4 linked regions of the Elephas maximus indicus genome follow. The protein of the gene in region 2 interacts with the protein of the main gene of each other region in a pairwise test. Links are inferred from orthologs where the notes say so. Each region holds a gene or a part of one and is shown on either strand. Other genes may lie near its edges. The genes, in order: TRIM54, CDKN1A, CCND2 and BCCIP.

Region 1 (7,907 bases), on a different chromosome or scaffold from region 2:
ATTGTTTCTCCTTGGTAATAGGAGATCTTCCAGATTCCTGACCCAGCCTGTTAAGGAGCTGGCGCCACCCTAGTCTTCTAAACCCATCAGTGAGCTTGGACAAGCCCAGGGCTGTTGCCTTAAGGCAGTAGGAGCCCTGGACAAAATGAATCTCTTCCCACAACATAGGCCTCTCCTTGTGTAGCCTCTCAAGGAGGTACGGTGTCTGGAGGTCTGTGTAGCTGAAGGACACTGAGAAATTTGAGGGGAGGATGTTTCGTCTTTAAATTTTGCATTTGAGTGCCTTTTCTGGGCAACTGCACGCTCCTGCTAGTCACAGATCCCACTCACTGTTGCCTTATACTTGCCCCACTGTAATCAGTTACATGCCTAACCCATGAAGACGAATTCCCTGTCACTGAAAGCTCACTTCTTCACAGCCTCACCTGTGAAAGTTACCACAAATACTTCTGCTCTGGCCCAGATTATGGCTCATATGGATGAAGCAGCCCGCCAGTTGTCTAGAAGTGGGAAAAGCCTCTATGCAGTGCTGGAGCTTAAGAAGGGTGCCTCGCCTGATGAAGTAAAAAAATCCTACAGGTTCAAATCTCAGCCCCTTATTTAACCCTGGAATTTTCCCCCTTAAACCCTTTTCTCTCTACCTTGCTTTCTAAACCCATTTCTAAAACTCTAAGCCTTCACTTTGGGGCCAGATGGGGCCAGCATCCTCTTCAGTGTGGCACAGGAAGGAATTTAGACTTTCGCTGCTTGTCCCCATCCCTTGTACCACATCTCATGCATTCCTTCTGTACTCTCTGAGGCCCATCCCTGTAATTCATCCTAACCTTCCCTCCCCAGCCATCCCCCATCCCCTCTCCACCCTCCTTTATGGGTATTGCCTGGGTAGGAAACTGGCTTTGAAGTATCATCCAGACAAGAATCCAGGAGATCCTCAAGCAGCAGAAATATTCAAAGAGATCAACACAGCCCACGCCATACTGAGTGACCCTAAGAAGCGGAAAATCTACGACCGACATGGCTCATTGGGAATATATATATATGATCACTTTGGCGAAGAAGGCGTCAGATACTATTTTATAGCGAATAGTTGCTGGTTCAAGGTACACAATTCTTCCTAGTCCCTAAAGACCAAGGAAGGAGGGCCAGTTGACCCTCCTCTCCTAGGACAAATGCATCTGTTGTCCCATTTTCTGGGTGCTAGGAGGATTCAGGGAGGGAAGCTTGGATGGCAATATAGAAGGGACTGCTGGACTGAGACCATTCCCTCCTGCTTGTAGACACTTGTCCTCCTATGTTGCCTGCTCACTTGTTGCTGTTTCTGTTGCTGCTGTTGCTTTTGCTGCGGAGCACTTAAGCCACCACCTGAGGAGGCAGCTAAGAGAAACAATCAACAAAACGTCCGGAATCAGCCTTCGAGATCAGGTGAGAAGGATAGGCAGGAACTGAGGTAAGATCTGAGGAGCCCTGTGGCACAATGGTTAAGTGCTTGAAAAGTTGGCAGTGTGAACCCACCCCGTAGCTCTGCAGGAGAAAGATGTGGTGATCTGCGTCTGTAAAGATTACAGCCTAGAAAACCGTTTAGGGCAGTTCTAATCTGTCACATGGGGTCGCTAGGCCTTGAAATCAACTGGCACCTAGCAACAACAGCGAGATAAATCTGGATTAAGAATGAAAGAAATAGTTGGGGGTGAGAAAGCGCTGTGAAACTGTGAACCCCTAAGTAAGTGAAGAAGAGGTGGATAAGATCTGTTTCTGAAGGGCTTATGCCCCCAAATGACAGTTTGAATGTAGTGTTGGCCTCTCATGACTATTAAGCTAAGGAATGGGGTGGGAGAGTAAGCCTAGAAAATGCAGTAATTGAAAACAGGTTAGAGGCTGCAGTTTATTGCATTTACTCAAAAGGAAAATGAAATGTTTGAGATTTCCACCCCAAGTAGTTAAACTTTAAAACTGTGGGTTGACTGAAGTTTACACATATTGCCACCTAGTGATGCTAGTGAGTAACTGCAAGGTAAAGATTTTCTCGCCACCAACCAAACCAAACCCCTTGTCGTGGAGTGGATTCCGACTCATAGCAACCCTATAGGACAGAGTAGAACTGCCCCCATAAAGTTTCCAAGGCTGTAATCTTTACAGAAGCAGACTGCCACATCTTTCTCCCACAGAGCGGCTGGTGGGTTCAAACCACTGACCTTTTGGTTAGCAGCCAAGTGCTTAACTACTGCACTACCAGGGCTTCTTATTTTCTCACCAGTAGACTAAAAAATTCTTGCTAAGTATTTATATATTTGTTTTTCAAATTCCATTATAGCAACCCAAAGTAATTTTAGAAGAGGGCAAGATTCTGTCGATGAAGATCATTATTAAAAGATGCGGAAGAGTAAGGTATGAAAACTGAAAGGCAAAAATAATTAAAGGATAAGGAAGGAATATAGATTAACCTCAGATAAGTGATTAGTGGAAAGTTTATATCCTTGTAGTATTGACTACAAGTGTTTATGATCTTACTCATAGGGGGTTTGCTTTAAATTCAGGGTGACCATTCCTTCTGATTAGTAAGATGCCAACATCTTCTCCCCATAGGTGCTGACCCAATGAGGGTGCCTTTTGCTGCCCAGTCCACTGGACATGTTGAAGAGAAGAGCAAGTAGGCTTGTCCTGACATTGAACCTGATTTGACCCCTCTTCTTGTAAGAATTCCAACTTCAGAAGCACTGATGCTGTCCATCCCAGTGAGGATACCATCTCTGCTCTTAATAGTACCACCAACCCCAGCCATACAGGGTTGCCCAGCTACTCTTTTTTAGCTCCAGTACCAATGTCAATCTGTCAGAGAGCAGCTCTCCCATCCCTACCCTTATGAGGCCTCAGGCAGTGGTGGCAAACTTTTCCTGAAGATTGTTTAACCTGTGCTTTCCTTGGGATTTGACTGAGTGTCAGCTGGTCGGGTCCCTGAGCCACTTGCGATATCTCCACCAAGATCCTGATGCCTGGGCAGGGTGAATCCCATCCCTGGAGCTGCTGTACCAGCTAACCCTCCTCTCTTACAACTCTGTGTACCAAGAACTCCTTGTGTCAGCCTCATTCTTAAGCCACTACAGCTTTCTGGGAGTAGTCTCACCTTCTTCGGGTGCCCATGCCCTTGGCATTGCCCACCACATTCCATGTCATGTGAGTCAACCCAGGAGAAGTATGAGTGTATTTGAGGCTTAGGAGTAGTCATCCCACCTTTGGTTTCTCCCTGGACTTCAGCTACCAGCACAGCAACCATTAATATTGGTCCTGTAGGTTGACAGGAGTTCACACATCAGTGCTTGCTTGCCTCCATCCTTTCTACCACATCTTATAGAGGCTCATTACCAGGTATTTTATTCTTAAAACAAGGGCATGAAACGTGATAGGGAAAGGACTGTTACAGACCCTTTCCCCACATGTGCCTCTTTGCTCTGCCTGTTTGGCATCTCCTCCACACCATTTATTCCCCATACACCCAGGGTCAGAGCTTAGTAACTCCTGAAACTTCTCTCCCTTGACTGAGATAAGGGCTAAGAAATGTCAGTAAATAAAGAGCTTTTGTCCAATCCCAGTGCGTTTTTTTTTTTTTTTTTTTTTTTGGCCGGGGATAGGGGGCTGGGGAGACAAATTGGGCCTGGGATAAAGAACAAAGCGTGTAGGAGAAAAAGATAGGGGGCCAGTGTTCAAACCTGGGACCAGCCTGGCCTGGAGAGGAAGAGTCCAGGACAACTGTGGGGTTGGGGCAGAAGCTTCCTGGAGCCTTGTGATTATGTATTTTGTCAGTGCTCTAAAATTTCCCTGGAGACTGTTTCCCTTGGTGTCCAAAATAGGTCCCTGGCATTCAGGTCCTTTCTGCCCACCTCACCTTCTCCCAATTTCCTAACAAAGTTAAAGGTCATCAGAGTTCTTCCTGTGAGGTGTTCATGGACCAGAATCTTACACTTTCACAGGGGCATTCTTGTAAAGGCGTTCCAGGCCCTGGCACAACAGCCACCTCTGACCTCTTTAGCTCCTTTTCCTAGGGTGATATGAGAAGGGGCTGGGCAAGAACAGAATGAACCAGAAATGTCTCTCTAGTCTCTGATGCCTCTGTTCTGAATCACGGGGTCTCAAGGAGGAGGGCCAGGGTCACTGGCTAAGTCTGTGGAGGAGGAAACTGTCACTGACTGTAGGTCTGGCGAGAGTTGTCCTCCCACCCTGGGACTTGCATAGTGCCTTTCACGCGGGCTAATTTAGAATTCTGTGTCACTGCCCTGGAAGAAGAGCCCAAGCCAGAGCATGGAGGTCAGGGGCTCACGGGAGCCTTCTGAGGGGAAGCAAATGAGAGACTGACACCTCTGCTAGCATACCCTTCACCATAAGCAATGAAGCTCACTCCCTGCTGTTGCTCAAGGGAGCCACCCATTCCTGAGTGAGTCAGGGTCACTCACTCAATGACAGCTGTGGCTCGCCTTACATGAGCTAAATTGGGAGCTGGAATGACATACAGATGCCCCTTGCCTCCCCACCCCCATGTTAAAGTTAATCTCCTCTCTGTGGAGTGAGGGACAAACAGTGCTGCCCACAGAGTGAACAAGAGAAAGTCGTTTGAGAAACAAAAGGAGAATTTTCCAGGGACAGAGGGAGGGATAGATTAAGCTACATGTGCCTGGCTAGGGCATAGAGCAGAGAACAGGGTGAGACAGAAGTGTCTGGAGACAGCCATCTAAGGACGAGGCAAGTTGTTAGAGGAAGGACAGGAGAGATAGCAGAGCTATTTCAAGAGTGAGCAACAGAAGGGAACATAAGAATCTGCAGACTGTCTAAAGTAAACGAGGAAGGGTCCAGAGTTAGTGAGAGAAGGCCAGGACCAGGGCCAAGGCCAGGGCAGGCACGATCGCTGAGGGGATGAACTTCGCAGTGGGTTTCAAGCCGCTGCTAGGGGATGCACACAGCATGGACAACCTGGAGAAGCAGCTCATCTGCCCCATCTGCCTGGAGATGTTCTCCAAACCGGTGGTGATCCTGCCCTGCCAACACAACCTGTGCCGCAAGTGTGCCAACGACGTCTTCCAGGTGGGCTCCCCGGGCGGGGGTAGGGACGGGTGAAGAAACATAGACTTGCAATAAGACTTCGAGCCAGGTCAGAGCTGAGTCCCGAGAAGGTGATGGGTACCATGCTGTGTGAGGTGGGTGGTGGCTGTTGTGACAGAAGAGCAGAAAAAGGGCCTGACTCCTAGCAGGTCCCAAAGTGAGCATGAGTCAGCAGCTGCGCCGTAGGCTGGTGGTGCAGCCTATGAAGTACAGCAGCTGGAATGCCAGCACCTACAGAGGAAAGAAGATCCCATAGAAACTGGGAGGGAGGTGATCCCACACCAGGCCCTGTCACAGCCTGTGACAGACTGCACTCCAGTGTGGAGCTTCAGATTTTGAGAGTGATATGGAAAATATGGGGAGAAGATCAACAAGATAATAAAATATTTAAAGATAAATCCTGTGAGAAAAGGTCTGTGATGACAGAGAAACTACTTGTATTTAAGACAAAGCTCAGTTCCCTGATTCTGTGGGGGCAGTGTTAGACACAGTGGGAATTCTCCCCAGCTTATATCCATAACCTGTGCTCTGCTCCAGAGTGTTCAGTAAAGAGGCCTACTGGTGAAAAGCATTGAGGTCACTTGACTTAAACAGAGAGAAGGGAGATAAGAAATTTTACTTTCCATAACTAATCGATCTCACAGATACCATTTTAGCCACTGGTTTCAAATATAAAAGCAGCATATACCAGAGTGGTTTATAAGTGAGCTTTCTTTCTTGCCCTGTGCTACACTGGAGTACTAGTAAGCTATGAAATGGAACAAAGATCAGAGAAAGTGAGAGGGAAAGACCTGGATACCTTGCAAATGAAATAACTCTAAATAGGCCAGAGCTGGCTTTGTATGTATGACAGTGATAAGGAACTTCACGAATAAGTTCTTCATCTGTATCAGAAATTATGAGGAAATGTGTTGAACACAATTGATTTTTAACTTAACCAAGAAAATGCTTCCCTTTTAAGTTCTTTGGGGGCAAAGAAGGGCAAACTAAGATGGGGCTGTCCTGCAGCTGTGCCCTTGCCCGTCAGCTGTCTGCCATCTTTCCTTACCGCCTAGCAACCTGCAGTCTCTTTTACCGTCTTCTCATCGAGGCCTATTTCCATCCCCTATTCCTCCAAGTGTCCAAACCTGCCATTATTTGGCTCTAGAGTACAAAGCCAGAAGTTTTTCCCTCTGTTGGGGTGTAGACTCCTATGCCTGCTCATCCCGGTCATCAAGTCATATAAGAGAGGCAACTTTGTCCACTATCCTGTTTTTTCCCTTGGTCTAATTTTGAACATTCTTTAGACTGAGGTGCCTGGTGGGGGGGATGGCAAAAATCTCATGAATTTATACTGAAACACCCCTCATTTGAACCTGAAATATGTGAAAGCAAAAAGAAGTTTTGAAAGCTAAAGTAATGTGCCCTTTAAAAAAAAGTGGTCAGGATATTAAAGTACAAGCCACACAGTAATTGTGTGGTGGGACCCAGGAATAGGTCACATACATGGAGACTAGAAGATGTTTAAATGACCTCTGTTGTTCCAGTTGGTCTTCTGTACCCAGGCACACTGCTTTGGTCCCATGAAGCTCTAGAATACTGATGTGGGCCCAGAGAGAACTGGGGATGGTTTGGGTTTGGGTCCAACACTGTACAGATTATTTGGGAGATAATGTGATTCCAGGCTTCGGGATGGTTCTTTGGGAGTGATGTGGAACAGCCCCTGGGCCTTCCAAGAAGATAAGAGTGAACAGCTTGTTTCCTTCATGTTTTATTTGGGAAGGCCTGGTGGGAGGCTGACCCAGTTCTTCAGCCACACTTATGTATATACATCTCAGTACATCCCCCTCTAAAAGATGAACATATTTAGTTTTTTCACACATTGCCTCCACATTTTGACAACTCGGCACAATCAGATCGTCTGTTTTCTGAGTATGGGGATAAGAATAGGGCTTTTGGTTCCTCTATATAGGGTTGCTATGACTTAGAATTGACTCAACAGCAATGGGTTTTGTTTTGTTTTGATCTTAAAACTACTTAGGAAGAACACCTTAGAACATTGCCTGGAAAGTTAACAGGACTCATTATTATAAAAGTTAAAAAGTGACAATCATATATTTTTAATAAGCAATATACATATACACATACCTTTTTTTTTTTTCAAATAATATAGGAGTTTATATCATGAAAAGTGAATCTGCTACTCACCTCAGACCCTCAGTCTCCTTCTTTGGATAGAGGTAACCATTCCCAGCTTTCTTAGGTGTGCTCCCAGAAATTTTCTGTGGAGAGGTACATGTTTGCACTTATGTATTTATATACGCATATTTAAACACAAATAAGAGCATACTAGACTCATTGTCTTACACTTGGCTTTGTTCACTCACTCTCAGCGATTGTTCCATCCCCACACATTCAGATCTGTGTCTTTCTCTTTAATGGTTCTGTGGTTTTCCCTAGTTACGGCTGGACCACAGTCTATTTTAGCAGTCCTCTAAAACATTGTCCAGTGTTTTGCTGCTCTAAAAACTGCTGTGATGGACATAACGCTCTAAAGGCTTCTGTGAAGCAGGAATTTTGGGGAATTGTGATTTTATAAGATCAGGTTAACCAGAGAGCCAGCAAACAAGATTTGAAAAGATAAAAGCATTTAATTGAAAATATTGTACAGTATTAAGGGGATGGGAGGAAATCATATTTTTGCCTTTTACTTCAAGTCCCTGTCCCCATACATAACATATTTTGACCTAGTTGCCATTAGAATTTAACTAGTTTTCTTTGGAGCCGTAATGCATCTCTGTTTCTCTGAATTTAAACTGAATAAAACACAAAGCACCGCC
Region 2 (7,603 bases):
ATGAATGAATAGATGGATGACTATTAAAGAGAGGGCTCAGAAACAGGGGCACTGAAGCCTCACCTCAGAGTGTAGGCCAAAAATGGCCGTTGCATAAATATTCACTGAGTTCCAAGCTGAGGCTGCTAGGCCTAGAAGGTACAAAGATGAATAAAATATGAGCTCATACCCCCACCCCCAGGTTCCCAGCTCAGAGGATGCACTCAGCACGAAGACCAAGCATGCCAGCACAGCGTAGTTGAGAGGCTTGCACCCCAAGAGCGTTGGAAGCCAAAGGGAGCCCTAGAAGACCTCACCCCCAAGGGGCATGTGGGTTGGATCATGAAGGATCAGAAGGAGTTCAACAGGCAGAGAAAGGAGTGGAGGTGAGGTAGACTGGTCAGGGAAACCCATACCAGGAAGAGAGAACACTATGATCAAAGAGACAGAGGGGCCCTTTGCTCCTCAGGTGGCCTCTGTCCATAGCATTTCCTTGCCTCTTTCTAGTCCCTAAAGGAACTCTGGTGGTTACAGCGCTTGGCCGCTAACTGAAAGGTCAGCAGTTTGAACCCGCCAGCTTCTCCGTGGGAGAAAGATGTGGCAGTCTGCTTCTGTAAAGATTACAGCCTTGGAAACACTGTGGGGCAGTTCTACTCTGTCCTATAGGGTCACTATGAGTTGGAATCGACTTAGCGGCAACAGGTTAGTCCCTAAATGGTTAAGTCATTCACATTGTGCTGTGCCACCCAGAACCCCTGAAGGACCTGGTCTGGAGTGTTGGCTGTTAATACAACTGAGTCCTTCTTCAGGAATTGGCCTCAGATAAGGGAGTTCCCTTGCCACCCCTCTGTCCCCACAAGCCACTGGTCACAGTAGCCCCCTTGCTTCAATTCAGCAACTCTGCAGAACCACCCTAGTTCTGGAGCTTCCAGCGGGATCAGCCTTCACCACAGCCCAATTCCTCCTTCTGCTGGATCCTGTTTCCTTTACACCCTCATAGGTGTTGATCCTGAATGCACTTTCCAATAAACCTCCTGCATGAAAATCTCTGCTCAGAGTGTGTTTTCTGGGACACATACCAAAGACACTCACAAAAGTGCAAATGATTACTAAACTCCAAGGGATGCCTTCTCTCAGAGTGTTTGTCCTATAGCAGTAATCATAATTAAAATTTGTGAGGTGATTTCACTATGCTGAGCACTTTTCCTATACGATCTTATTTAACAAAGAACCAAATCTAAGTCAAAGGAATTAATTTCTAATGGCGAAATTTCAGGCTTTGGCTAGTAAGCTAGGGAGACTAGAAGTATTTGTATGGCACAAATTCTGTCACAATTTCTGTGCCTCTCTGTATGGTCAGCCCTGACCCTTGTGCTGGTTGCATAAAGCCCCCAATCAGGTGAGGGTGGGGGCTCCCAATCTCATTCTTCTTAAAAAAAAAAAAAAAGCAGGGCTTACTTATTCTGCTTGGTGGTGTAATATCTCTGCTCTGCTTCTTCTCTGGGGTCTCGCTTCTTGGGACTCTGTGTGGAGCTGAATTCCTCTGAAAGCTGGCTGTCCCTGTTTTGGGACTCCCCAGACCTCTTCTGAGAAATGGTGACATTATCCCCAGCACTTCCTCTCCTTTCCTGGGTAGCTCCTGCAGCCACCATGGGGCCCTCCTCACATCCTCTTTCCTCAGGCCTGTGCTTTCCACCTTTCCCTTCCATTATCTGGAGCCTGCTGGGTGGGGATGTGGGGTTGGCCTAGACCCTCCTGTCTTCTAGGCTGAGACTCCTTCCATCCCTAAGCTGCTTGCCTCCTGGGGAGCATGCCTGGGCAGCAGGCAGTGGCCCCCATCGGCCCTCTGGCCCTTAGGGACATGTCCCAACAAGTTGAGCCATGGCATAGAAGAGGCTGGTGGCTGCTCTCTATTTTGGGGTGGGGAGGGTGTGGTAGGAGATGGGGAACCCCCAGAGACCCCAGAGAGATCTTGGCCTTCTTGGTCAGAGTCTTCCTTCAGGGGCCTGAGTTTCACTGAACAAAAAATGTGGTTTGCAGTACACTCCAGAGAGATCTTGGCCTCCTTGGGTCAGAGTCTTCCCTCAGGAGCCTGAGTTCCTTGGAACAGAAAATTTGGTTTGCAGTAGATTTCTTGGGATTGGTCTGGGAACTGGCACAGCTGTGTGTGTGTGTGTGTGTGTGTGTGTGTGTGTGCGCGCGCATGCATGCATGCAAGGTGAGAATCAGCTCTTGTGACCTCTAACAACCTGCTCCTTTGCCCTCTTCAAGACAGAAATCCTCCCTTGAAGGATGTGCCTGGCTACATGCTGCAAACATTTTTTTTTTTTTTTTTTTTAACGTACCTAGTGCTAGACACTTAGTAGGTGCTTACTAAATATTTGCTGAATCCCATTATGGTGGTGGTGGGGAGCTAGAAGCTATTAAAAAATTCACTTCCCAATAACAACAACAAAAAGAATTATTTCATTGTGAATCTCAGTACCACAAAACTGTAAATAATTCAATATAAGCCTTCATTAAAAAAAAAAAAAATTCCAAAGTAAACAGACAGATAATGTCAAGTCTATCTGAAATGCCCGAAAGCTGGGGGGATTCAAGGCAGCTGGGGAATGTGCTTGTCCTCTATTGGACATTTGACAACCCAGCACTTGAGTGGTGTAGGTGGAAGGGAGGTGGGGGCAGGTGCTGGGGGGTGGCGGCCCTGGGACCTCAACTTCTCTGGGACCCTCCTGAGGTCCAGCGACAATTCTGGCCTGACTTGAGGTCCAGGCAGAGTTAGGGGTCTGGGGCAGCACCCTCCCACTTCTACAGGGGCTCCCATCCCAACACTAGAGGAAGAAGCCTGTTCCCTGAGGTCAGCTGCTTTAGAGGAAGAAGACTGGGCATGTCTGGGCAGAGATTTCCAGACACTCAACAGCCCGAGATGTCAGTAATTACAGCCCTTCCAAGAGCCTGGATTCTATTTTTTAATGGGATTTCTCTTCAGATTTACACTCCATTCTCTGCAATATTAAAAAAAAAATTTTTTTTTTTTGTGGTAAATAATAGGTAACGTTTGCCATTTCAGCAGTCTTCACATGTACCGTTCAGTGACACGTTCATCATGTTTTATAATTTTTTTTAAAGCACAAACTGCAAATGCATCAGGGGAAGGAAAGAGGCAAAGGTGGGGTGCAAGGGGGGCTAAGGTGTGAGGGTGAGTGGGAATGGCTGGACATCTCACGTGGCTCTGTATCTGTCAGAAACACCAGCGGACACTTCCAGAATTGTCTGGCTTTAATGTTACCTCAGTAAGCTGCCTGCAAATGAGGGGTCCTGCAGAGTCCCTCCCCCCACCCCCCATTCTAGAGTCACCGAAGCAGAGAAGGCAGCAGGCAGAAGCATGGCAGGAGGTAAAAAACCTGAGTTCCAGCCCTGCCATAGCCATTTATTTATTGTGTGACCTGAGTTAAATCACTTAGATTCTCTGGGCAACAATTTCCCCCACAGGAAATGTGAAGTGTGTGTGGGAATATCCAGGAGATAAATCACCAAATCCTTCTCCCCTTCTTTTTCTTTTTTTGATTTGGTAGTTGTGGCTAAGAATATACACCGCAAAACATATACCAATTCAACCACTTCTACACGTACAATTCAGGGACACTGATGACGGACTTTGAGTTGTGCAGCCACTCTCACCCTCCATTTCTGAGTTGTTCCCCCATTAACATAAACTCACTGCCCTCTAAGGTTCCTATTGAATCTTTCCAGTTGCTGCTGTCACTTTGATCCCATATAGGTACTTCTTAAAAGTGTGTAATGACCTTCTGCCCTTCTTAAACATCAAGTCTGCTGTAATCAGTGGTTTCTTCTGTTGAGGTGAGAAGCTGGGAGAGGAACAGGCGGGGAGGTTGGTTCCATTTTCCGATTTCCTGGAAACCGTGCTGGTCCTTCTGAAGTGTCCCCAGTTCCCTCTTTCTCTGAGGCACTTGACAAGCGCCAGCTCTGTACCCCTTAGGTTTACTGGGCCTGTTTCCTCATCTTGAAATAAAGCAGATCGAATTCTGTTCTGGCCTCAAGGATGCTTGTTAGGGTGTCTGGTTGCCCCAGCGTGCATCAAGGAGAGGTGGTCTAGTGAGAGCTCTGTGGGAATTGTGGTGGGATAGTGAGGCTTTTCTGGGAATTGCAAAGTGAGGTACATAATTTTTATTATTTATGGAATATTATTTATTAATGCCATTCCTTGTGATCTTTTCAGCTGTGATGGGTAAGTCCTTGCCTGGAGTCCGCCAGCGGGGGGCCAGGAAGAGGGAGGGGGGGTCCTCCTAACTACGCCGTCCTGGTCCTGCGAAGCGCCCACTCACTCTTCAACTGGAAAAAGCCGGGTTTGTGGCTCAATTCGTGGAGAAATGTGTAAAGCGCGCAAGCCCAGGAGCGACGGGACGCGCCTCCTGCAGCTCCCGAGGTTCCGAGACCTACAGTTGTCCCAGGGCCTGGAACCCCGCCCAGACTCGGGCGCGGAGCCGCCCGGGCCCCCGGGGAGGGCGGTCCCCGGCGCGGTGGGCCGAGCGGCGGGTCCCGCCTCCCGAGGCGTGCCTGAGCCGTGGCTATATATCAAGGCTGCGCCAGGCAGCACCAGCTGAGGTGTGAGCGGCTGTTGGAGTCAGTGGCTTGGACACCCGGAGCCGGGCGCGGATTCGCAGAGACAGCGAGCCACTCAGACGAGGTGAGGGAGCCGCGACAGACAAGAGCAGACCCTGGGCCGGCAACTCTGAGCTGAGTGTGTCTGCGTGTGTGTCCGGATGTGTCCGTGTGTGTGTGCTGCGTCTACAGTTGTTTCTGCGGCAGGTGAATGACAGGCGTGTGTCTGTGCGCTGGGCTTTGCGCGCACGAGTGTCTGTAAGTGCGTGTGACGGGGGTCGGGATGTATTGGGGCCTCAAGGCGGGAGGGAGGGCACCAGTACTGGGGATCCTCTGCCCGCTCTCTTCTCCCTGAAACTCTCCTGGAGCTAGGAAAGGCGTGGGTGGGGCCGTCCTCGGAGCTTGCGGCTGTAGGGTAGCCCCCCTGACCCCCCGTGCCGCTTGGCTCTCGTCGTGGTCCGGAGGCCCCGGCCGCCGCAGGCCGTAGGGGGACGCCGGGGGAGCGCTGAGCAGGTTAAAGTGGGCTCCGCCCCGGGGCCGCTCTCTGGCTTTCGGACCCAATTCGTGCCGCCAGGACCCAGGCCCGTGAGGTCCAGATCCCCGACGCCGCCGTGCCCGACACCCCTTTGGCGCTGAGGTCAGCGCGGGCTGTGTCCCCGGCCCTCGGGAATGTGCCAGGACACGTCCCTTAAGAACAAGAGAGGAGGTGACTCACGGTGACAAGGAGACCCCGGGGAGCGGGCCGGGTAAGATCAAAACCCCGCCCGGGCGGGGGGCGGGCGCCCCAGAAGCCTTCCGCCCCTCCGCAGTCTCAGTCCCCCATCAACACAGTGACCTACTTGGCTGGCACAGCGTGTTCCCGGGGAAGCCGGGGCACTGGAAGGTCCAGGACCTGGGGTCCGGCTCCTGCCGCGCGGCGCGGGTTCTCCGTGGGAGAAGCGCAGGGGTCTCATCTACCCTTTTCGCACCGCCGTCGGGAGAACCCCGCCCAGCCTGTCCTCGGGTTGGGACGCTGGACTCCGGAGCTGGAGCCGGAGCTGAGCCCACTCCAGGGTGGGCGGTGGGAGGGGGCGCATCTTTGCGGAGTGGGAGGTGGGAGGGGGCGCGTCTTTGCGAGATGGGGCTTCCGAGGGTTCAGATGCTGTCCAAGGCCTGTGTCTTTCGGGACTCGGATCCAGGGACTCGAGGCGCCCCCGGCATAGCCCCAAACTCCCTCTCCGAGGGCCAAAGAATTGAGCGGGGCAGAAGGGCGAATCGCGCTCGGGCGCAGCCACCCAGGGCGGACCACGGACCACTGGCACCATCAGAGTCACTTGGGGAGCTGTCTTGGGCGCCCGGTGGACCCTTGCACCCTTCTCGTGCGGAAAAGTATCTTGTTACTCGGTTTGGTACTTTGGGGCACCGGGGCAGCTCCCTCCCTGTCTCCCTCCCTCCACGTAGCGATTCGGGGAGGACTTTCGAGCGGTTTTATTTTCGTTGTTCCCGTCTATTTTTATTTTCCAGGGATCTGACTCATCCCGTGCTTTGGGCGTGGAGATAAGGTGGAGGGCCAGATCTTGGCGCGCCTGTGCGTGCGTGCGTGCGTGTGTGTGTATGTGTGTGACAGAGACGGCGCGAGAACGCGCGGTTTCCCAACAGCGGCGGGGGTTTCGGAAGCCGGGCCCGCTTAGAGTGACGTGTTCGCGGCCCCCGGCCCCTCCCTCGCAGTCTCCTCCTTCCCTACGCCAGGGTGACGCGCAGCAGGAGTGGAAGGGGGGTTTTGGCTGGCGGGAGCGCTTTGCAGGAAACTGACTCATCACAATTTGTCCCTCTCGCTGTCTAAGGCTCTGCCCACGCACCTCCCACCCTGCGCGTGATTTCCTGGAGATCAGCGCCCCCTCCCGGCCTTGTCTGGAATAGCAAACATCCCTTCCAACGGAATCAGGCTTCGCCCGCCTTTCCTTCCCGCCGCTACCCCTGGGCTGCTCCAACCTTGTTCTCCCCATACCGCCACTTAAAAAGAGTACCCCATTGGTTCAACAGTATTTACTGAGCGTTTACTATTTACCTGGGGATTAAAATATGGCTGAAGTGTCACACTAGGGTTTGGTCTAAGACACGCAGCCCAACGAGGGAAGCTCTTCTTCTTTGTAAAACGAGGGTTTGTGTTTTTTTCTGAGCTGGGAGTTATGATACTGGGCGTGAAAGCAGATTTTAATGGGGAAGGAGAGGCCCATAAGAGCCATCAGGCAACGAATGGTAGAAGGGGAGAGGGATCCTGCGGGACCCATCTTCAGCTCCTAGAAGCCGGGGAATATCCAGCTCACCGTAAAGCGGGCTCCTCCTCCTTGTGCCATTGGGTCGTGGAGACCCAGAATCCCCACTCCAGCCTTTCTGTGCGCCTCGCTGTCACCCCAGGGGAGCCCATCAGACCCTCTTGGGGAGCTGCACCAAACACTTGCTTGAATCCAGTCTGGATTAAGATGGTCTAGGGAAGGAGCACCACCAATGTGTGCTTTGAGAAAGCCCTCCAGGTAAGCCTGCTGGACATACCTGGTTAAGAAACTTCAAAACTGGAGAAGGAGCAGGGTGTAGGGGCTGAGAGCATAGAACTCAGGGCAGACACGCCTGGATTCAAATCTACTTGTATCCATTGTAACCCTGGGTATATTACTTAACCTCTCTGAGCCTTGGTTCCCTTTTCTGTGTAAAGGAGCTAATATATACGCATGTGCTCGGAGGATTAATATTTGTAAAGTGCTTAGACCAGTCCCTGGCACATAAAAATATATAAATAAATCTCACCCCCTGCCCTGAAGAGAGCCAACAAAGATTATTCGATGGATTTGCCCACGGCACCGTTGCCCCCTTTGTGGGACAGAGGCCCTTTCCTTTTTAACTGTGTGATTTCGGAATAAGTTTCATAGCCTTTTGAGCACCTGCCCTTTACACCCTCCCCAGTGAGCTGAGACTTAAAGTTGTTTCTCCCTGTTCATTGTGAGAGGTGGGGGGTGGGGTAGAT
Region 3 (7,486 bases), on a different chromosome or scaffold from region 2:
GGTGACGTCAAAATTCCGCGAAAAAGCCGCGTGGTGGCTCCCCGAGCGGAGGCGCGAGTCCGCCGCCCAGCGGCCCCCTCTCGGGGGCGCCCGGGGGAGGGCGGACGGGCCAAGCGGCCGCTTCCTTCTCTTCCCGGGAGGCAGGGCCCCGCCGACGCCGGCAGCCAGACGCCCCCCGCCCCAAATCTTTTTGGAAAATTCACTTTATAAAACAAACGCATTTCCAGGGCTATTTTCGGTCTTGTGAGGCGTGTCCTGAAGCTGAATCAGACAGGAAGAGGGGGAAGTTCGGGTCTTTTTAGTTCCCGCCGCCCCCGTCCCCTGACGAAGGGGAATTAGATGCTAGGTGGGTGAACAGACGGCAGGCGCTGCGTCTCTGACCCACGCCTACCGCATCTGCTGCCTCAGGATTACGCACGCTCCAAGCTCAAGTACCCCAAACCCGCAGTTTAAATAAACAGGCTGTTTGGCTCTGACCCCCACTGGATCCTGAGCGTCCCCGAGATCCGATGGGCAGGGGTCCGGGGTTGGAGGGTCTCCCCCCCGCCCCCCGAAGCGCGGAGCTCGGGATCTCGGGCCGCAGGTTCACACCTGGAAGCTCATTGCCGGAGTCTCCCGGAGCCTCGAATCTCCTGCTCCCCACCCACCCTCCTTCTTTGCCTGTGCTTTTCGGTTCCTCGCCTTTCGGTCTTTTCCTTTCTCACTTTTTTTTCCGCCTAATTTGCTTTTATTCCTTCCCCATCACCTCCCAGTTCTCTTTCTGTTCCTCCTCTAGTTCCGTCCCCGGCTCTCGGGCAGTCAGGAACTGAGGCAGGGGGCCCTTCACCATCTACTTTTAAATGACCGTCGGGTTTTTCTGTTTTCAATTTTCTGACCATCCATTCCTCAATGGATGAAACACAAACGCAGCTTTATTCTTTGGAAGAGTTGGGGGAGGGGCGGTGGCCCCCGTTCCTGCGCCTGAACCCAACTCCCACCAACCTGGCCTGAGCGCCTCTGTGCAGGGGCGGCCAGATTCGAACCCGCGCAGCTCCTGAGCTTTGAGCCTACCGCGGGATCACCTGGCTGGCTCGGCATCTGCCAGGTGAGCTTGGGAGTGTGTGTGCTTAGCTTGCAGGTTCCTGCAAAGATGTGCCTATAAACACCCAACACCCGGCTGCACCCTACACCTACAGGGTTTTGTACACTTTCCAACCGAAACTCCGAAACGCGAGCAGTGGGGGCTGGGGAGCCCGCGAGGAGAGAGGGAATAAAAGTCCAATAAAACTTGTGTTCGCTAAAGTTTATCACCGATCCTACAAGGACAGGTGAGAAAGGGATAAGGAAGAACCAACATTTTTTTTTCCCCACAGTGCCCAGTTTGAGTTCAAAGCCAGAGCAAAGGCGCTTGCACTTTTTCTCTAAACCTGAGTGTACACTCAAAGAAAATGAGCGCACGTTTGCCCAGGAGGCAACGTGCCTTTTCCCGCGTGCTAGGCGGAGTGTTTTTTAACAAGCAAAATTCAGGTTTTAACACATGGTCTAAGTGGCCAGCAAAAGGGAAAACTCAATTTCCAGTCCAAGGTTCCTGGAGAAGCTCCTGCCAACCCCCGCACCCTCTCACGCCCCACCCCACATGTTAAGAGACTGAAAAACGACAGGGGGACGGCTTCGAAGCGAGGTTAATGTTCGGGAACAGCCCGCAATAGGAAGGGGAAGTGAATGGGGGAACTTAAAGAGGCTTTCAAAAGTTGAGCCTGCCTCGCGGGAAGCGCCCGAACTCGCGGGTCTCCAAGAATGAAGAGGGCCGCCGGAAGGGGGGCATCCACCCCGACGCTCTCCGTCCCTCCCCTCTAACAGGCCCCAACGCCCCCCCTCCCCGGAATTTCTCTGTAAAGCTAGACGGGGGTGGGGTAGGGAGGGAGAGAAGGGGCGAGAGAGTCCTCGGCTCACTCGGAGACTGGAGCACTCGCCACCCAGGCTTTGTCCCCGGGGTGGGCGAGGCCCTGGGGACGACCACCCGTCTCTTCCCCAGGCCCCCTTCAGGGAACCCTGAACTCAAAAGGCTTCCGCTGCAGGGAGGTGGAGAAAAAGACCGTGCTTGGTTAGTTATCAAGTGATGTCAAGAGCCTGAAAGCTCTCTTAGGCTTCTGTCCTTGCCTGTCGGGTTAGATTTATACTTTAAAAATACCTCTCTCAACCTGCACCTTCTCCCCCTTCCCGCCCCAGCAGCTTTCTTTGATCCACTCAAAGGTGGCTGAGGTGACGTTTGAGTAATTCCTTTATGGGGTCTTAAAATGTAAGTCAGTGTATTTATCCGGAGTGAGTCAAAAGCTTAAGTCGGGAAGTCCAACTTGACTAAAATCAATAGGTGATTGTGAGGGACCCGACTGTATTCCTGTGAACACTGTACTCAGCCCGGGTGTCATCCGCTGCGCGGAACTGTTTCATTTTGAGTTTGCAACTTGGTTTTTTCAGTGTTATTTTTTTTTTTTTTCTTCCCGAAAGCTAATGGCTTCCACAGCAATTAAGACATTTTTCTCGCCCGCCCCCGTCCCTCCCCTTTCTTTACAGACAGTAGATCCGATACTAATTCCCGCGGCTATTGATAAGGTCGCAGACGCCCCAGCTTCTCTCCGGCCCTCTCCCGCCCCAGTCCCCGCTCTCCCTCCGCCCTCCCTTGGCTTCCTTTTGATGTAGCGGGGAACGCGTCCTACTAAAAAAAAAAAAAAAAAAAAAAAAGTAATCTGCCCGGTAACAATCAGCGCGCAGTAGCAGGAGCCCCAGAGCTATTGGCTATGCAAATAGAGGGAGGGGAGACGGCGCCCCAAACTCTTACTCACCCTTTTAAAGCGATATCCCCCCCACCCCACAACCACCCACCCCTTCCGCCCCACCCTGGTTTTAAAGAGGCTGGCTTCGGGGCCTGAGTTAATCGCCTGCACCTCTGGTATATTCTTTCCCCGCCTTCTCTTTTCCACCTCCCCTCCTCCGCCTTTCAGGGAACCTTGTGAACAGCTCACCCTGCCCGGCCTCCCTACCCACCCACCCCCGCCTTGCTCTCCTTGTCCCTGGACCGGCCCCCATTCTTGGAGAAGGAGGTCCTGGGTCCACCTCCTTGTGTCCAGAGAGCCCCAAACCACGCCAAGCTCACTGCACGTGCCAGCTCGACCAACAGGTTAGGGGCGCTGGGCTCACTCCTTTTCCTCCCAAAGTGAAAAGCACTGCAATGCAGGGTGGCGGGAGGAAGGAGGTAAGGAAACGCCACCATCTCCTCTGTAAAAACAGCCTTGACCCGAGGGTGCGTGTGAGCACGTGTCAGAGCGGGCTGCGCTGGCAATGTCTCCACCGCAAACCCGTTCCCCGGGAGAAAGCCCTGGTTGGCGAGTGAGGCGTGACCCCGGGGAAAGCGGCGAGGATGCAGGCGAAGGACCTAGGGTAGAAATCTCGGGCCTCTGAGGAAAGGAAGGGGTGGTGTTGTTTGCGCAGGGGGAGAGAGGGGGAGCCAAACCTAATCCCTCCCTCGCCCCCTCCCCTCCCCCCTCCCGGGCTATTTCCTAGAAAGCTGTATCAGTGTGGCCACGCTCGGCACTGACACCTCGGGCGGCTTGTCAGCAGATGCAGAGGCGAGGAAGCGGGTTTTTCTTGCGTGGCCGCCAGCCGCGGAGGAGCCGCTGGTAGCCCTGCCCCCGGTCTGCAGCAGCCCTGGGCCCATCACTGCGTCCTCCACTGACTCCGTTAGTGCCCCAAGAACAGGAGTTTTGCTCAAGGGTCATATTGTATCTCTTCGGAGAAACAGCCCCCCCCCAACGCCAACCCCTTCCTCCTCTTCCTCTCCACGCACGTCTGGAGGGGGGGGTGATGCCCTTGTCCCTTTAATCAGGCTTTTCAAATGGCTTCGAGATGACCAGAACATAAACTTAAGGTATATGACACATAAGTTTCATCTCAAGTATGCGTGGTTGCTATTTCATAAAATCACTTCATTACTTTTATGAGATCAATTTCTCAATTGTCTGTTCCTACCCCATGTCCAAGTAATCTACCCGCCATTCCTGGATCTTGACTACAAGGGCGGGGGTATTTGGACCAGTTTTGAAGAAGCCCAAGTTGGAGGATCGCATTTTGGTCTGATATACCTACAGAGAATGTACGACACTGGAGGGCATACATAGGAATCGGTCTTTTTGTGGGTTCCCCTCTTCGGGGCCCCTGGCATGCGGGGCTGGATAGGGGGAGAGGGCCTCGGAGAGCTAAGGAGAGGGGTAGGGGGGCGGGGGACCGCGTTTGAAGTTTGGTCGGGCCAGCTGCTGTTCTCCTTAATAACAAGAGGGGAAGGGTGGGAGGGAAGGAGGAGGAGGGGAGGACCGAGAGGGGAGGGAAAAGGAGGAGGAACCAGAGAGGGGAGCGAAGCGAGAGGGAGGAGAACTAACTGCCCAGCCAGCTTGCGTCACTGCCTCAGAGTGCAGAGAGAAGAGCGAGCTGGGCAGAGCGAGACAAATTTGAAGGGGAGGGCAGGCGCGAGTTCAGCAGCCCCCGGGGCTCTCCTCTCCCACCGCCTATCCCTTTCCTCTCTTCTCCTCCAGCTTCTCTCTCTGCCCCGAACTTTCTCCCGAAAACCCTCTATTTAGCCAAAGGAAGGCGGTAAGGGGATCCCCCTCCCCTCCCCCCTCCAAAAAAAAAAAAAACTTTTCCAGTCGGAAGAGAGCAGGGGAACCAGTGCGCGCCCGGCTCGCCATGGAGCTGCTGTGCTGCGAGGTGGACCCGGTCCGCAGGGCCGTGCCAGACCCCAACCTGCTCTACGACGACCGCATTTTGCAGAACTTGCTCACCATCGAGGAGCGCTACCTTCCACAGTGCTCCTACTTCAAATGCGTGCAGAAGGACATCCAGCCCTACATGCGGAGGATGGTGGCCACCTGGATGCTGGAGGTAGGGACGTAGGCAACGCTCTCTAGGAACCATGTTCCCACCCCGATTCACAGCCCCCACGCAGGGACCCTGAAACTGGACAGGGTAGTCTCTGTACCGCCCTCCCCGCTCTTGGGCGCGAGGTTATCCCGAGCCCTTTGGTGGGACGCGTGGCTTCGTTTCGGTTTTTTGCTGGATGCGAGATTAATTTGGGGGAGGGGGAGAGGAGAGGTGAGGAAAATCCGGGAGAAACAAGGCTGTCCTGGGGCGGGGGTGGGGGAGCATCCCGCGCGCGTGTGCCTGCATGTGGCTTCCTCTTCTTCCCACCCCCATCCCGACCTGCCTTTTGCGAAGCAGTGGCTGCTTTCCGTGCGGTGAAGAAGGCAGTAGGAGCGCGACATGGGGACCCACAGTAAAATGTAGCCCCCCAAAATGCCAAAGCAAATTCTTCCTAGCTTCGGGTCCCCGCGTGTGGTCGCGACTCCGCGTTGGCACTTAAGGGGGGGGAGGGAGGCGGGAGGAGGAGAGAAACGGGGAATTCAGGAGCCCCGGAAGTCACATTGAAGAAACGTGTGTTTTAGGGGAACCCAAAAGAGCCACTTCTTTACCCTTGCTCCAAATCTTTGCCGAGCAAACTGTGTGCCCACGTATGCACAGCTCTGGACCTGCCGTGGTTTCGCCATGTTGCTTTGCAAAGTCCGATTGGAAAGTCTGGAGACGTCGCCCGCTCCCCCTCGCACCCTCGTATCCCGGCCACCCCATTTCTAACCTTGCCCTCTCCTCCGACCCCCACCTCACGAAGGTTACTTACAGTTTGGCTTTCCTGCTTCCTCGGTGCGGAGAGTTGGGTGGGGTAGGAAGGGGGGGAGGAGGTGTGTGTGGGGGAGGATATCGGGGCACCCCTAAATGAGAGGTCAGATCCCCCCGTGCCTCATTCCGGATGCTTCCCGGCCCCCGTCTTTTCCCCAGCTGGTCACCACGCTCCCTAGTTTCTGCCCTTGTGGGCCGCAGCCGGACACTCCCGCCGCGGCTCTTACCCCTTCAAGTTTTCCCCCGGGATCCAGAGCTCCGGGGGTCGAGATACAGACCTTTCCGGCACCCGAAACCTCCGTTTTGGGAAGTCTAGCTCCTCCTTGGGGTTTTCACGCCGAAAGGGCTTTTCTAGGATATTTTCTCGATTTTTAATTATTTTTTGAAACCGTCCCCCCTGCTCCGACTCCAGCTGCCGAGGCTGCGGCGCTCTTCCTCTTCTCCCTCCCCCTCTCTTCCCCACCTCTCCCCACCCACCCCCCCAATAGCGGCGCCTGGGCCGAAGGGACCCCCGCCGGCAATTTTTCCAATTGTCGGGAATGATAGAGCAGGGTCTGGGGGACCGAATGGGACCAAGCACGAGACCCCTGGAGCTTCCAGAATATTTTTATTGATTTTTTGAAAAGATGACGAAATCCAAAAAAGAGTGAGTTAGAGAGTGAGCAACGAAGTGAGTGGCTAAAGGGAGCGTCGTGCAGCCACCGCGCGATTCTCTGACTCCCCGCTTTGGATCTTTAATTCACCCCGTTTTTTAGGCTTCCGAGGAGTACTCGAACTTGGATGGGCTGTTTAGGTTTACCCCAGTTTCTTCATTTTTATTCTTGTCACGCAGTCTGCCCCCTCCCCCTCCCCACAAAAATTAAATATTTTTTTGTTTTTGCCATAGTTTTTTTTTATTCTTCTTTTTTCTGTACTATTTTTTTCCCCTCCCAACCCGTTCCCACTCCTATTGTAGGTCTGTGAGGAACAGAAGTGTGAAGAAGAGGTCTTCCCTTTGGCCATGAATTACCTGGACCGGTTCTTGGCTGGGGTCCCGACCCCTAAGTCCCACCTGCAACTCTTGGGTGCTGTCTGCATGTTCCTGGCCTCTAAACTCAAAGAGACCATCCCTCTGACAGCCGAGAAACTGTGCATTTATACCGACAACTCCATCAAGCCTCAGGAACTGCTGGTAATGACTGCTCCCTTCCTCCCTCCCTTGCTGCTCTTCACCCTGTTTACTCCTGGCCTAAGGTGCTTTCTGCCTACTCCTTCCAAAACAAATTCTCAGGATCCCAAATTTCCCCACCACTAGAAGGTTCACACTTTTTTCACATGTCTGTTTTTTGTGTTCCTACTGTGTTGCTGGGCAGTGTTCTAAGCACAGAGGCTACGTGGACAAATGAGACCAACATGGAGATTTGTGTTGGTGAGATTCGTTTGTAATTGTGTGTGTGTGTGTGGAGGAAGGATGGAGTACAAGGATAATACTTCAATTAAATTCACATTTTCAGTCACTGAATTCTGAGAATGTAGTCTGACATCTCACAAGATAAGGAATGTGCTTACATAATAGGAATGTGTTGGTTTGTCTAAAAACCTGGAGCTTAAAGCTAGTGTCGTGTATCTGTCTAGTCTCAGATAGTACGTGCGCATAGTAGCTGTACAGTAAATATCAGCTCATTAGCTTTTGAGCAAAATCAAATGTTAGCCTTTCACTAGAGGAGTCCGAGGCCTGTGCCTGTACCTCTGATGGGGTTGTGACCTCTGTACAGTCCTGGTGGTCCCATCTTGCCTCTAGCTTTCT
Region 4 (7,240 bases), on a different chromosome or scaffold from region 2:
GGCTCTGACTTATACTGTAACAGGACCACTTCACCGCCATTTGGAGAAGAGACTGAAGGCAGAAAGGCCTGGAAACAGGAGGCTATTACAACAGTCTGTGAGGAATGACGGCAGCTTAGACTAGCTGAAGTGGGAGCAGTGACAGCATTTGGATCTATTTTGAAGGTGGAGCCAATAGAATGCAGGGGAGAGAAAGAGAAGCCAAGGATGATTCTAAGGTTTATCACCAGGACAACTGGAAATACGGTCACATGTAGCATGAGATGGACAAGAACGAGGGAGGGGAAATCAAAAGATTCATTTCGGACATACCGTATTTGAAAATGCCCTTTTCTGCACCAAAGTGTGCCGGCCCACCTGTGTACCAGTGATGGGTTTACAGACATCCCTGAAGTTTTGATCCTCTCAGCTGAGTAGGCCCTGTGGCAGCCTAGGTTGGCTGGGTGGAATGGAAAAGTACTTGCACTAGGGGGCCAGGGTTCTGGTCTGGGCTTCTCTTCTCTGGGCCTCAATTCTGCATTTGTGAAATGGGCTGGGGACTCTGGACCGCTGGTTTTTCTGAGGGACTTTCCTCCCCATAGGAGAGGCTCAGGAAATACCTGTCCACTCTGAATGCTTTCAACCTCCCCAGCATCTCTGAACCAGGGAAAACAACCGCCTTTTCTCTGAAAACCAGGGAAGTGACTTAAGGCCACTTCACTGGTAAGAAGGAGTCAGGCCTCAAACCCACACTTTCTAACCTGACACAGCCTGATGATCAACAGTGACAGCAGCTATCACTATAGCGAGCACTTACTCTTTTGGTGTTTACTGGGCCAAACACTTCACATGCAAGGTCTCATTCTCACTTAAAACTGTGAGGTAAGTATCATCCTCATTTTACACCGGAGGAAACCAAGGCTCTGAGAGGTTTGCATAACTTGGCAAAGGTCACACAGTATAGAAAGTAGCAGAGCTGGGATCTGAATCCAGGTCTGAAGCCCAGGTTCATTTTCCTAACCACCTCTCTGCTTCTCTGAGCTAAAGATGAAGGCTGAGGCAGTGGATAAGCGATCTCCAATGGAGCTAAGTTCCTTGGGGTCAGTACAGTGTTTTCTTAAATGACAAAACCACAGGTGGGCCATTTTTCCACGTGTGCCGTTCTAATCCACAGTCTGACCATGTGCTCAACCCTGAGAACTACTCTGTGGACACAAAGTAAGGATGTTTTCGCCCTTCTCTTATGAAAGAAAAAAATTATCAAGAAATCCATGATCTCTGAGTGCAACTCTACCAAAAGGCCAGCATGGTACAGCCTGCCCTGTACATGGTAACCTACTCCAAACCCGTTGCTGTCAAGTCGATTCCGACTCACAGTGACTCTATAGGACACAGTAGAACTGCCCCACAGGGTTTCCAAGGAGCAGCTGGTGGATTCAAACTGCTGACCTCTTGGTTAGCAGCCGTAGCTCTCAACCACTGAGCCACCACAACTCCCTCTACATGGTGGGAAGGTGTTTTTGCATAGTTGGGGGACCCATCCAGAGCCCTGATGTCTAAGTATATTAATACCCATGTTGTGACCAGGTAGACAAGAGACTTCCAGAAAACATGGAACTCAAAGAACACAATCACGGAGACTCTGGGGTAACGGGGACCTTCAGGGATGCTGATGAATAATCACTGAGAAAAGGCCACTAAACTTCTGCTTAAACCTCCTGAGCAAGGGTAACCTCACTACGTAGAGGCAGCTCATTCCATTTTCAGACTCATACACATGTAACCCTTTCCTCATTTAGAGAAAAAAAAAAATGGAGAATCACAGACCCCATCCTCAGAAAGCTGGTGCCTTCCCTATTTTCTGCCAAGTAAGTCTTTAAAACAGGCTGCAAAGTGGTAGCCTGTGGGCTAAATCTAACTGGTAGATGCATTTTATTGGGCACAGGTTATATTTGTATTATATGTAAAAATCCATATTTCATGTAAAAATCCCTAACTCCAGCTTCTCTTCAAATGGAAAGATCCGACAAGATGAGGCCTACATTTCCACAGGGCTAAAACTGGCCAAAGGAGTTCCTGGGTGGTGCAATGGTTAAGTCCTCGGCTGCTAACTGAAGGGTTGGAGGTCCAAGTCCCCCCAGAGGCACCTTGGAAGAAAGGCGTGGTGATCTACTTCCAAAACGTCAGTCATTGAAAACCCTGTAGAGCACCGTTCTACTCTGACACTTGTGGGCTCACCAGGAGTCTGCTTCTGACACCTGTGGGCTCACCAGGAGTCTGCTTCACAGGAACTGTTTTTTTTTTGGTAACTGGCTGCAGTTGAGCAGCAGGTGTCTGTTGTAGACGGGCATACACGCTCCAGTTGGCCAGTCCCCTCCACTCATATCCACTGCAGTAGCTGATTCCATTCAGACTCACAGAGACCCTATATGACAGGGTAGAACTGCCCCACTGGGTTGCCAAGGCTGTAATCTTTGCAGCGACAAAGATGTGGCAATCTGCTTCTGTAAAGATTACAACCTTGGCGTCTCGAGTCTTAAACGCTAGCAAGCAGCTATCTAAGATGCATCATCAATTGGTCTCAACCCAGCTGGACCAAAGGAGAATGAACAACACCAAGAACACAAGGTAATTACGAGCCCAAGAGACAGAAAGGGCCACATAAACCAGAGACTACATCATCCTGAGACCAGAAGAACCAGATGGTGCCCGGCTACAACCGATGACTGCCCTGACAGGGAACACAACAGAGACCCCTGAGGGAGCAGGAGAGCAGTGGGATGCAGACGCCAAATTCTCATAAAAAGACCAGACTTAGTGGTCTGACTGAGACTCGAAGGACCCCAGTGGTCATGACCCCCAGACCTGTTGGCTCAGGACAGGAACCATTCCCAAAGCCAACTCTTCAGACAGGAATTGGACTGAACAATGGGTTGGAGAGGGATGCTGGTGAGGAGTGAGCTTCTTGGATCAGGTGGACACTTGAGACTATGTTGGCATCTCCTGCCTGGAGGGGAGATGAAAGGGTGGAGGGGGTTAGAAGCTGCCAAAAAGGACAGGAAAAGAGAGAGTGGAGGGAGAGAGCAGGCTGTCTCATTAGGGGCAGAGTAATTGGGAGTGTGTAGCAAGGTGTATATGGGTTTTTGTGTGAGAGACTGACTTGATTTGTAAACTTTCACTTAAAGCACAATAAAAATTGAAAAAAAAAATTGCAGCCTTGGAAACCCTATGGGGCAGTTCTATTCTGTCCTATAGGGTCACTACAAGTCAGAACCCACTGACCGAAACAGGTTAATCTTTATAGGAACAGATTGTCAGGTCTTTCTCCTGCTGAGCAGCTTAGCTGGGTGGCCTCCAACTGCCAACCTTACAGTTGGCAGCCACGCGCTTGAGCGCTTAAACGGTGCGCCACCAGGGCCCCCTTTAGATTATCCCACCAGTACCTTGAGCATTTAAGATTCACACATTCTTTTTTTTTTTTTTTTTTTAAACTTTCGGGCCAAGAATATGCATTTAAAGAGCGTCAGGGGATTCGATCCCGACTCACTGCATCACTGCCAAGTGTGTGCCCGGAGCTGTGCGGGGAGACACCGAGGGAGGCCCTTGCACGGCAGGGTCGGGTCTGACCTGCCCTGGGGAACCTGACAGGACAGGTGACCTTCCAGGCGGGCTGGACCGAAGGGCGACGCCTCGGGCCCCCTCCCCACTCTGTCCCTCACCCCTGCGGGCTGTCCTCCTCCGCACGGTGGGCGGTGACACCTACCTGGGGCGGGGGCACGCGTGGGCTGAGACGGGACCGAGCCCTGCGCTGCGCCCGCCACAAGCCGGAGCCCAGTCGGGGGCGCGCACCTTGCAGGCCCCAGGCAGAGGCCGCAGGTGCAATGGCATCGGTGGGCTCCGCGCACCCCGTGCCCGCGCCGCGGGGACACCCGGCACCCCAGCCCGCGAGTCCGGGAGCCCCTTTTGCTCAGCTGGGAGCCCGCGCGTGCGCGCCGACAGCCAGGTCACGGAGGGGGCGAGGCGAAGGCTTGGCGGTTCGTACCACTCTGTGAAGGGGCGGAGTAGCCTTGGAGGGAAGGAGAACAGAAAGAGAATTTGGCCGCGATAGAGCCCCCAAACTGCACTTAACTCTGAAATTACGACCGTGAAGTCCAGCCGAGGCGCTGGAGCTGGCGTCCACTCAGCCCTGAGGTTCTTCACCGTCTTCCTCCCCCTTCCTTGAGTGGTTCGGTCCGGAAGGTCGGGGCGGGGGCGGTGCGCAGGCGCGGTGCCTGGGGCGGCAACATGGCGTCCAGGTCCAAGCGGCGTGCGGTGGAGAGCGGGGCTCCGCGGCCGCCGGGCGGTCAGCTCCAGCGCGACGAGCAAGAAGAGGAAGATGGAGTCGAGGATGAGGAGGAAGACGAGGAAGATAGTGGCGAGGAAGACGACGAGGTCGTCGACGAGGTGAGCACCACGCGCTACCTCGGTTTGTTTATATCCGGGAAGACACTGGCTGTCAAAGCCACGTGGAAATTGAGCCGCCTGGAGGAGCGGCTTCCCCGTCCCTGAGGGTCTGGAGGCAGAAACTGGGGATGGTAACTGCTTACTGAAGTCCACTTCAGTCTTCTCTACACTGCAGCCACAGCCTTGTCATCCCACCCCCATCCCAGAGGGAGAACCCGCCACAACCACAGGCATGAGTCGTTTTCCGTAGTTCTCAGGCCGGAGCTCCAAATCCTTCCCAGGCCACCAAGGCCTGCAGAGTTTGTCGTCTGCCCACCTCTGCCGCAGCTCTGCCCCTGTTCCCTCCGCAGCTTCGGCCACACGGCCCGATTTCAGCTTCCTGAAGGCTTCCTGTGCCTTTCTACCCCACAGGCTTACAAAGGAGCCCTGGTGGCCAGTGGTTAAAGTGCTCAGCTGCTAACTGAAAGGTCAGTGGTTCCAAGCCACCAGCTGCTCCACGGGAGAAAGATGTGGCAGTCTGCTTCCATAAAGATCACAGCCTTGGAAACCCTGCGGGGCAGTTCTACTCTGTCCTATAGGGTCTCTATGAGTCGAAAAGGACTGGAGGGCAACAGTTTTTTTGTTTTTGGTATTAAGCATTCAGTGGTCTTAAGGGTCATCCAGCTCTAATTACGCATTCAACAAATATTAAGTACTTAATGCTAAGTATTATGGAGCCTTGGTCGTACAGTGGTTAAGTGCTCAGCTGCTAACGAAAAGGTTGGCAGTTTGAATCCACCAGCTGCTCCTTGGAAACCCTATGGGACAGTTCTACTCTGTCCTACAGGGTTGCTATGAGTCATAGTCAACTCGATCACAGAAGCTTTTGAATGCATAAAAAAAAAAAAAAAAGAAAAACCAAACCCATTGTCTTTGAGTTGATTCCAACTCATAGCAACTCTATAGGACAGAGTAGAACCTCTCCATATGGTTTCTAAGGAGTGCCTGGTGGATTCGAACTGCTGAACTTTTAGTTAGCAGCTGTAGCTCTTAACCACTACACCATCAGGGTTTCCTTGAATGCATAATAGGTACCTCAGACTTAACCTATCCAAAGTAGAACTTGCGGTCCACCCACCTCCTCTCCTAGTTTTCTGTCTCTGTAAATTGTCCCCAGATTCATCAGTTTCTCAAACCCAAATCTTGGGAGTTAACTTTAATGCCTCCCTTCTCCTCACCCCACATCCAGTCCATCACTAAATCCTGTTAGCTCCACCTTCAATACCCGCACACTTCTCATTGACTCTACAACCATCATTGCACATCATTGCTCAACAACTGTCTTTTCAGTGATGTCCCTTCTAAATTACATGTCCATTCTGAATCCTGTTTCCTTCTCTGTAAATTGGAACAAACATCTGCCTGACAGGGTAATTGTAAGGCGTGAGAGGACACAGCAGGCATGCGGGGTAGTGCCCAGCACATGGTAAACACTTACTGGTTTTTCCTCCAGTTGCTGTCCAGCTGACTCTGACTCATGGCAGCCCCACGTGTGTCAGAATAGAACTGCGCTCTGTGTAGGGTTTTCACTGGCATATTTTCAGAAGTGGGTTGCTAGGCCTTTCTTCTGAGCTGCCTCTGGGTGGACTTGAACCACCAACCTTTCAGTTAGTAGCTGAGCACATTAACCAATTATTTATCGTCATATAATAATGCTCTTATTTCATTTTACTTGGATCCACAATCAATGCCTATGGAAGTAGCAGTCAGGAAATCAAACGACATATTGCTTTGGGCAAATCTGCTGCAAAAGACCTCTTTAAAGTGTTAAAAAACAAAGATGTCACTTTAAGGCCTAAAGTGTGCCTGACCCAAACCATGGTATTTTTCAGTTGCCTCATATGCGTGTGAAAGTTGGACAATAAATAAGGAAGATCAAAGAAGATTTGATGTCTTTGAGTTATGGTGTTGGCAAAGAATATTCAGTATACCATGGACTGCCAGAAGAGTGAACAAGGAAGAAATACAGCCAGAATGCCCTTTAGAAGCAAGGATGGTGAGACTCCATCTCATGTACTTTGGACATGGTATGAGGAGGGAGCAGTCCCTAGAGAAGGACATCATGCTTGATAAAGTAGAGGGTCATTGGAAAAGTGGAAGACCCTCAACGAGATGGATTGACACCATGGCTGAAACAATGGGCTCAAGCATAGCAAATGTTATGGATTAATTGTGTCCCCAAAAAATGTTTATCAGCTTTGCTAGACCAAGATTCCCAGTATTGTGTAGTTATTTATCATTTTGTGATCAGATGTGATTATCCTATATGTTGTAAATCCTAACCTCTATGATGTTAATGAGGCAGGATTAGAGGCAGTTCTCTTAATGAGGCAGGACTCAGTCTACAGGATTAGGTTGTACCTTGCGTCAGTCTCTTTTGAAATATGAAAGAGAGAAGTGAGCAGACAGGATGCCGACCACATACCCCCAAGAAAGAAGAGCCAGGAGAACAGCACGTGTTTTGGACCCAGGGTCCCTAAATTGAGAAACTCCAGACCAGGAGAAGACTGATGACAAGGACCTTCCCCAGAATCAAAAGAGAGAGAAAGCCTTCCTCTGGAGCCAGCACCCTGAATTCGGACTTCTAACCTCCTAGACTGTGAGAGAATAAATTTATCTTTGTTAAAGCCATCCACTTGAGGTATTTCTGTTATAGCAGCACTAGATGACTAAGACAGCAATGATGTGAAGTTGCCACAGGACCAGGCGGTGTTTCAATCTGTTGTTCATGGGGTCACTATGAGTCAGAACCAACTTGACAGTACCTAACAACAACAAT

The links.
Region 1: the proteins of CDKN1A (region 2) and TRIM54 interact in binary tests that used the Homo sapiens proteins (3 or more experiments, as listed by UniProt). The two-hybrid records come from large-scale screens. The link is inferred for Elephas maximus indicus from reciprocal best matches to the Homo sapiens genes CDKN1A and TRIM54.
Region 3: the proteins of CDKN1A (region 2) and CCND2 interact in binary tests that used the Homo sapiens proteins (3 or more experiments, as listed by UniProt). The link is inferred for Elephas maximus indicus from reciprocal best matches to the Homo sapiens genes CDKN1A and CCND2.
Region 4: the proteins of CDKN1A (region 2) and BCCIP interact in a two-hybrid assay, tested with the Homo sapiens proteins (2 studies listed by BioGRID, with this or other methods). The link is inferred for Elephas maximus indicus from reciprocal best matches to the Homo sapiens genes CDKN1A and BCCIP.

Annotation. Positions count from the first base shown.
Region 1 is NC_064830.1:45,785,238-45,793,144, forward strand, and holds the start of TRIM54 (tripartite motif-containing protein 54), read left to right. Parts: upstream 1-4,902; coding exon 4,903-5,070; intron 5,071-7,907. UniProt on the Homo sapiens protein: May bind and stabilize microtubules during myotubes formation.
Region 2 is NC_064819.1:100,349,768-100,357,370, forward strand, and holds the start of CDKN1A (cyclin-dependent kinase inhibitor 1), read left to right. Parts: upstream 1-4,596; 5' UTR 4,597-4,687; intron 4,688-7,603. UniProt on the Homo sapiens protein: Plays an important role in controlling cell cycle progression and DNA damage-induced G2 arrest. Involved in p53/TP53 mediated inhibition of cellular proliferation in response to DNA damage.
Region 3 is NC_064822.1:60,743,782-60,751,267, forward strand, and holds the start of CCND2 (G1/S-specific cyclin-D2), read left to right. Parts: upstream 1-4,486; 5' UTR 4,487-4,716; coding exon 4,717-4,911; intron 4,912-6,655; coding exon 6,656-6,871; intron 6,872-7,486. UniProt on the Homo sapiens protein: Regulatory component of the cyclin D2-CDK4 (DC) complex that phosphorylates and inhibits members of the retinoblastoma (RB) protein family including RB1 and regulates the cell-cycle during G(1)/S transition.
Region 4 is NC_064834.1:75,789,272-75,796,511, forward strand, and holds the start of BCCIP (BRCA2 and CDKN1A-interacting protein), read left to right. Parts: upstream 1-4,223; 5' UTR 4,224-4,263; coding exon 4,264-4,422; intron 4,423-7,240. UniProt on the Homo sapiens protein: During interphase, required for microtubule organizing and anchoring activities. During mitosis, required for the organization and stabilization of the spindle pole.